2 linked regions of the Canis lupus familiaris genome follow. The protein of the gene in region 1 purifies or fractionates together with the protein of each later gene. This does not show direct contact. Links are inferred from orthologs where the notes say so. Each region holds a gene or a part of one and is shown in the gene's direction. Other genes may lie near its edges. The genes, in order: USP37 and BTRC.

Region 1 (3,829 bases):
ATTTCTGGGCTCTGTTTGACTACTCCTCCCTGGACTGCAGTTTACAAATTGCCTGTAGCCAGAAACCCTCTGTAATGGTAGGATTCACACTGTTTGTTTCCCTTCTCTTAAGGATCACAGATTTGCACTGCCTATTCAATATTTTATCCATTTTTTTCGTTGTTTATGGCAGTAGGATAACCCCAGACCCTGATACTTTCTCATAGTCTGATGTGTAAATTCTCCAAGGTATTCAAAATTGACATCACCAGTGATTAGCACAAGAATATCATGTACCTCTGAATGTGATACCCTTGGAAGGACACAGTATCACTAGGTGTCACTCTGCTTTTCCAGCCTGGACTGAATCTCATCATGAAGAAATAGCAAACCCAACATGAGGAACAGTCCATTAAAAAATAGTTGTGGGGGTAAGGGAGGTTGTATTCTTCAGAAATGGCAGTGTCTCAAAAGAGAAAGCTGAAGATGTATTCCAGATTAAAAAACAACAACAACAACAACTAAATGCATTATGCTATTCTGGATTGAATCTTGTGCTTAAGCACGAGTGTGTATGCTATGAAGAACATTATTGAATCAATTGACAAAATTGGATTAAAGTATGTTAGATAAAGAGTATGTCAGCATTAAATTTTATAATGCTGGTAACTCATTATATAAGAGAATCTTCTTGTTCTTGTGAAATACACACTGAAGTATTTAGGGCTAAAGGGTTATTTATACAACTTACTCTCGCATGGTTCAGGAGAAATACAGAGATGCACCAAATGGTAAAGCATATAGTACAAAAGATTAACAATTGGTGAATAGGGATAAGGAGTATTCTTGTGCAACTGTTCTTGAGAGTTTGGGAATGTTTTCTAATAAAAAAATTTTTTTAAATATGTGCTTTAGGAAAGTGTTTGGCAATACCCATTAAGTCTAAACACATATATCCTATGACCCAGCAGTTCCACTCTGGGCATACACTAAACAGAAATAAGTAAGCTATATCTCAATGGAAAAATTAAAATTATAAATAAGAACAAATAGCTCTTTGGATAAGTCCCCAGTTCTTTTTAGCATTCCTTTGAAAATGTATAATTTTCCTTGTTATAATGCAGTGGTATTCAAAGTATAGTCCCCAGACCAACAGAATCAACATCAGCTGAAATCATGTTAGAAATGCAGTTTTGCACCGTCTCTTTCTAGACCTACGGTTTCTAAGTCAGAAACTGTAGTTGGGGCCCAGGGACCCAGCAATACATATTCTAATAAGTCCTCCATGTGATTCTGATGTGTGTTATACTGGTGATTCCCTATTTTAATGAACATATGTCAGGAACTTCAGTCTTCAAAAGTACTATTTTTTTTTTTCATTTTCAGCTTCTCCAATTTGGGAAATACCTGCTATATGAATGCTATTTTACAATCTCTGTTTTCACTCCAATCATTTGCAAATGACTTGCTTAAGCAAGGTATCCCATGGAAGAAAATTCCCCTCAATGCTCTTATCAGGTAATTGTTAAATTCTTACTAAGAAACCTTTTACCTTATGTGCTATTGTTAACAGTCTTTAAAATATCATGCTAACCAAACTTATGTAAAACATCACTAAACTTTCTTGTTTTAACAGACGCTTTGCACACTTGCTTGTTAAGAAAGATATTTGTAATTCAGAGACCAAAAAAGATTTACTCAAGAAGGTTAAAAATGCCATTTCAGCTACAGCAGAAAGATTCTCTGGTTATATGCAGAATGTGAGTACTAATTGTTTTTAAACACTTTAGAGATAAGGGAAATTAAATGATTTTAATGTATTATCTAATTTCTACTTTAAAATGAGATTTATGTACATGTGTTCATCACAAGTTGAAAAACCTAAGGACTTATAGTAAGATTTAATATGACTCTTCTGTGTGTTTTATCATATTTTAATAATTTGGATACCATTTGCCATTATAGGAACTTGGGCTATTTTAGCTTTTACAAAGGCTATTTTAGAAAAAATACTTTATCTTAAAGGGCTGATTGATTTATTCAGTCATGCCAATCCAATTGGTGGTTAAAAATATAAAATCCGTCATTGTTTTTTTTTTTAATTTTTATTTAAATTCAATTTAGTTAACTTATAGTGTTGTATGTATTAATAACACTATATGTTATATGTGTAATACAGCATACAACACTGTACAATAATATAGCGCATATTAGCTTTAGAGGTAGAATTTAGTGATTCATCAGTTGCAGTGTCATTTGTTCTTATTCACAAATATGTTCCCCCTAATGGCTAGAGTAAATCTGACCTTTTTCACATATGGTGCTGACCTCCAAGAGCTATAGTTGTATAAATCACAGTGTTTGGAAGCTATTCTTGTGACAGAAGGATTTTGATCTTATGATTAAAGATATTGTGCTTTCTTAGGATGCTCATGAATTTTTAAGTCAGTGCTTAGACCAGCTGAAAGAGGACATGGAGAAGTTAAATAAAACTTGGAAGACTGAACCTGTTCCTGGAGAAGAAAATTCACCAGATATTTCAGCCACCAGGGTGTACACTTGCCCTGTTATTACTAACTTGGAGTTTGAAGTTCAGCACTCCATCATCTGTAAAGCGTAAGTAGACTCTAAGAGAGCTCTTTGCCCTTTTAATTCTTTATAGTATGTGATTAAAATTTTTCTAGAAGGTTTTAGTTCTTATCTTCCTTTTTTGTGTTGTAAGGACACAATAAATGCATAGGTTCTACCAAACGTCTCCTTTCAGTGTCCTCATCTTCTATAAAAATGTTTTATAGGGTGAGAACTAAGGAAAACTTGACTGTTTTCTCATGTACTTTATTTTTTTTTTTAATTTTTATTTATTTATGATAGTCACAGAGAGAGAGAGAGAGGCAGAGGCACAGGCAGAGGGAGAAGCAGGCTCCATGCACCGGGAGCCCGACGTGGGATTCGATCCCGGGTCTCCAGGATCGCGCCCTGAGCCAAAGGCAGGCGCTAAACCGCTGCGCCACCCAGGGATCCCTCTCATGTACTTTAGTGCTGACTAAACACTAAATTTTGATCTATAAGTTTGTTCTTATGAGTTTTTTTTTCTTTTAATCTCTGTGTGGAATAATGAGTACTTTGGGAATACTTTTTCCCTGAAAAGACTCTGCTCCTGTTGCTTATTTTATTAAATCAAATTGTTTTTATTAAAAATGGGGTTTTTTTTACAAGATCAAAATTTGTTTTTAACTTTTGCAATCCTTTTTAATTTATTAATGTTTATATTGATTATTTGGACTTTCTATATTTAGTTAATTTCCATGCTCATTACCAAGACTTTTATACCATGCATTTCTTCTTTTTTTTTTTAAAAGATTTTTTTTATTTATTCATGAGAGACACAGAGGCAGAGACATAGGCAGAGAGAGAAGCAGGCTCCCTGCGGGGAACCTGATATGGGACCCGATCCCAGGACCAGGATCACACCCTGAGCCAAAGGCATAGATGCTCAACCGCTCAGCTACCCGGGCGTCCCTATACCATGCATTTCACATCAAAAGGATCTGTTTTGATTAATTTTTCAGTTATTGTACTACATATCTGAAAATGTTTTTCTTAGAATGGAATTCTTCTGTTTAAGAATTATTTTTGTGGCTTTCACATGAGTTAATACAGAATTATTGAATCACATATAGCCTTTCCCCCTTAATATCTTACATACACTGTCTCATCATGTGCTATATTACTTTGTGACATTTGGGAGACCTGATTTTGTGAGTAATCTTTTTCTTCCTGAAAATCTGTGATATTCTTTATTTTTGAAATTCACATTTTCACAAGTTTACATTTAAGTATTTTGTTTAAT
Region 2 (3,829 bases), on another chromosome or scaffold:
TTTAAGATTTTATTTTTTTAAAGTAATTTCTATACCCAACATGGGGCTCAAACTCAAGCCTGAGATTAATCAAGAGTTGTACGTTCTTCTGACTGAACCAGCCAGGTGCCCCCAGTTTTTTTAATTAGCATGTAAGCATTTTTGAGAACTTGCTTTTGTTTCCATTATAGAGAAAAATTGTCCTGAACAATGGGTGAAAAGAGAAAGTGTCATTAGTAACAGAGGTGGACATACTTTGTGAGGGCAGGATATCACTGACACTATGTATCTCATTCTTTTTTTAAGATTTTATTTATTTATTCATAGAGACATAGAGAGAATGAGAGACAGAGACACAGGCAGAGGGAGAAGCAGGCTCCTCACGGGGAGCCCGATGTGGGACTCGACCCCAGGTCTCCAGGGTCACGCCCTGGGCTGAAGGAGGCATTAAACCGCTGAGCCACCCGGGCTACCCCATGTATCTCATTCTTACTGGTGATTTCAGGAAGCATTACTTTTCTTTTCTTGGTCATTTCCTTCACAGGCAACTGGGTACATTGAATTCATCCTTTTTATGCCTTGGAGACCCTGGTTACAGACTTATATAAAGCATTGTGCTTTGAAAATATATATTTCATTTTAACTTAAATCATACATTTTTCTGTCTGAGTTATACAGCAGAAAGGAAATAAATTACATTGAAAGCAATACATTTGGTATGAGTATTGATTGATTTTATTTTTGTGGAATTTTTTGAAGACATATGAAGTGTATTATAACATGCCAAGCTTAGAAAAGAATACATGAAAATTCACTTGACTCAATTTTCTCTTCCAGATTATGGGACATAGAATGTGGTGCATGTTTACGAGTGTTAGAAGGCCACGAGGAACTGGTGCGTTGTATTCGATTTGATAACAAGAGGATAGTCAGTGGGGCCTATGATGGGTGAGTTTGCTAACAGGGTTTAAAAAACAAAATGTACATCTTGATTCCTCCTACCGGAGGATGTTAAATACAGTATTTCCCTGACTCTAAAAGATTATAGATTTTACAGAAAGGATCTGATACAATATTTCTTGTGTCTCATCTATGTATTCCCCTCTCCTTTGTTTACTTTTCTAAGATATTTTTCCCAGTCATTTAATTGCACTTGTTTCCTGGTGATTTTCATTAACAGTTTAGTTATTTAGTTATGCATTCATCTGTTTTGATTCACCTATAAAGCAAAGAACTAGGAAAACACAGTATGCCAGGATATGTGTGTAAAATAATGACTTATTAATAAAACTGAAATATTGGAGGCAGTATCTTTGGGGCATAATGTGGTAGGCTCTTGAATTTGATGTCTTTGAGTAATTCCTAAAAGCGCAGCTCTCTTGTCTTCACTTCTCTTAACATTTTAGTGACAAGTTCAGTAATCTTTATTTTCTTCGGTCTAATTTCCAATGGTTTTAAAATCCATTCATGTTGTGAATGGATCCCATGTCCGGCAATGCTAAGCACATAGTAAACTCACATAAAAGTGTATTTACTTATGAAGGCCTCTTTATTATTTCTTCTTGTCAGGATGCCTGACATGAGGGAGTGGAAGGCTATAGTTCACATCTTGGCAGCTTTTTAAATATTAGAAACTACCTTACTACATTACCTTAGTTTAGGAGCTGGCAGTGATTAAGACAACTCATACAGTAGGAACAGACCATTTTCTCTGCTTTGAGTCATCCATCACTGTTCTACCCTGTGGGAGATTGTTCAGGGTGTGAGAACATACTCCAGTTACATGGTATTTTCTGATTGCCCTGGTTTTTATCTGTACCCACCTTTCTTGGGTTTTGTCTGTTATTTACCTTGAGGAGACATGACCATATGTTTGGTTCTTGGAAGAGCTAAACTTTTCTTATTTTAATCAAAATATGGGAATTTGTATAAACTCCAGAGTATTTCAATGGGCTCTAGTCCTCTGGTTCAGGTTACCTGGGCCATTCTTAGAATTGACCAGAAAGAAGATACTTCACAATTGTAGGTTTCTAGGTCTAAGTGATCTCTTCTATCAGTCTTTAAGAGTCTAATATATAAGATCTCTTCCTGGCCCCAAAGTATGGTATAACTTTACCATTCACTTAAGCTTGGTTAGAGCTAACCTATTTCTCATTTTTAGGTTAAACCTGTACATTTTTCCCCTGTTAAGACCAATAACCTCTACCCAAGAATGAATGCAAAAACCAAGTCTCCAAAACAAAAAAAAGTTCTTATATATTCTTGTGAGCTGCATTTATCATATAAATTACATTCATCAAAAAAAAAATTACATTCATCATACCTATTTATTGCCATGACTTTTTGCTATTTTTCCCATGGTCCCTTAATTTTGCTTTTAATTAAGATTTTTGTCCCCTTTTGGATCTTTAGAAAAATTAAAGTGTGGGATCTTGTAGCTGCTTTGGACCCCCGTGCTCCTGCAGGGACTCTCTGTCTACGGACCCTTGTGGTAAGAACCTTGCTGTTTAGAGGGGGTTGGGGAACAGGAAGGGAAAGAAATGAAACATTGATGTGGTATGGAATACAGATCTGGATTTGATAGTTAGAAGCTCACGAAACCTACTACTAAGTGGAAAGGCAACTAATACATGACAATAAAATATGTTTTTTTAGCGCCTTTCATCCAAAAGTGCTTTAGAGACTATGTATAGAAAGGAATGTGGCAGCTGTTTAACAGCTGCACAGCAACTCTACACCACAGTTTAGTACAGGAAGTGAATAAGGATTCTGTATCCACCAGAAACAGTAGGGGGTACTTAGGGAGAGAGAACATAATTACTCAAATTGGAACCTGTCCAGAAGCTGAGGACCTACACACCTGTGCCTGCAAAAAGTGTCATGGGAGTCTGTGTGAACCCCCGGTCAGCCCCCTGGCTCTGCAGCCTATTCAAGGCATGCTGCCTCCAGCAACATGAATCCCATCTCTTTTATTCCTTGCCATAAACATCTTGACATTTGAGGAAAGAAGTGACTCAAAAGGAAGAAAGTCACCTTTGAAAGTGCTAAATTCTTTATCATGGTGTTCACCAAAGGCCCGGATGAGAAAATGGCCTAAGGTTAAAAGCTGCTGCCATTGGAAAAAGAAAATTAGGTGGGGCACCAGGGAGCACAACTCAGGGTAAAGATGAGAGCTAGCATTTGAAGCCCAGTGTTCTGAATCCTAACTCTCAACATTTGGCAGCCTCTGCTCTGGAGAAGAGAGAGAGAGATGTTTCTTTGTCTTCCTGATTGGATTTAAAGCTCATTGTTGCAGCATCAGACCTACTTTACCTGCATGTTTCAGACATGTTTTTTAAAATGTATACTTTCATTCATTTAAAATTAATCTAAGTCTAAATGAGGTGTAATTTACATACAGCAAAATTTACCCTTTTTCAGTGTGTTTTTCTGAATTTTGCAGTGTGTAAACACCTTGATCGAGATCTAGAACATTTCTAACACCCCAAAAATTATACCGCTTCATAGCACTACCCTCTCCCACACCCCTAGCCACTATTCTGATTTTTGCCATTTTATGAATGTCCTATAAAGTCATACAGTATGTAGCTTTTTGCATTTGGCTTTATTCACTTCATTTGAGAGTCATTCATGTTGTTGCATGTGTTCGTGCTTAGTTCTTTTGTATTGCTGAGTAGTATTCCACTGTGTGAATGAGCCAGTTTGTTTATGCACTTACCAGTTGAAGGACATTTGGAATACTTCCAGTTTAGGGTGATGCTGAAAACATTCCCATACAGGTTTTTGTGTATACATACTGTTTTCATTCCTCTTAGGTAAATACCTAGGAGTGCAGTTTCTGAATCCCATC

The links.
Region 2: the proteins of USP37 (region 1) and BTRC purify together in Homo sapiens (affinity purification with western blotting; 3 studies listed by BioGRID and IntAct, counting the BioPlex papers as one, with this or other methods). This does not show direct contact. The link is inferred for Canis lupus familiaris from reciprocal best matches to the Homo sapiens genes USP37 and BTRC.

Annotation. Positions count from the first base shown.
Region 1 is NC_049258.1:25,006,152-25,009,980, reverse strand, and holds part of USP37 (ubiquitin carboxyl-terminal hydrolase 37), read left to right. Parts: intron 1-1,365; coding exon 1,366-1,497; intron 1,498-1,615; coding exon 1,616-1,739; intron 1,740-2,404; coding exon 2,405-2,595; intron 2,596-3,829. UniProt on the Homo sapiens protein: Deubiquitinase that plays a role in different processes including cell cycle regulation, DNA replication or DNA damage response.
Region 2 is NC_049249.1:14,342,823-14,346,651, forward strand, and holds part of BTRC (F-box/WD repeat-containing protein 1A), read left to right. Parts: intron 1-816; coding exon 817-927; intron 928-2,391; coding exon 2,392-2,470; intron 2,471-3,829. UniProt on the Homo sapiens protein: Substrate recognition component of a SCF (SKP1-CUL1-F-box protein) E3 ubiquitin-protein ligase complex which mediates the ubiquitination and subsequent proteasomal degradation of target proteins. Recognizes and binds to phosphorylated target proteins.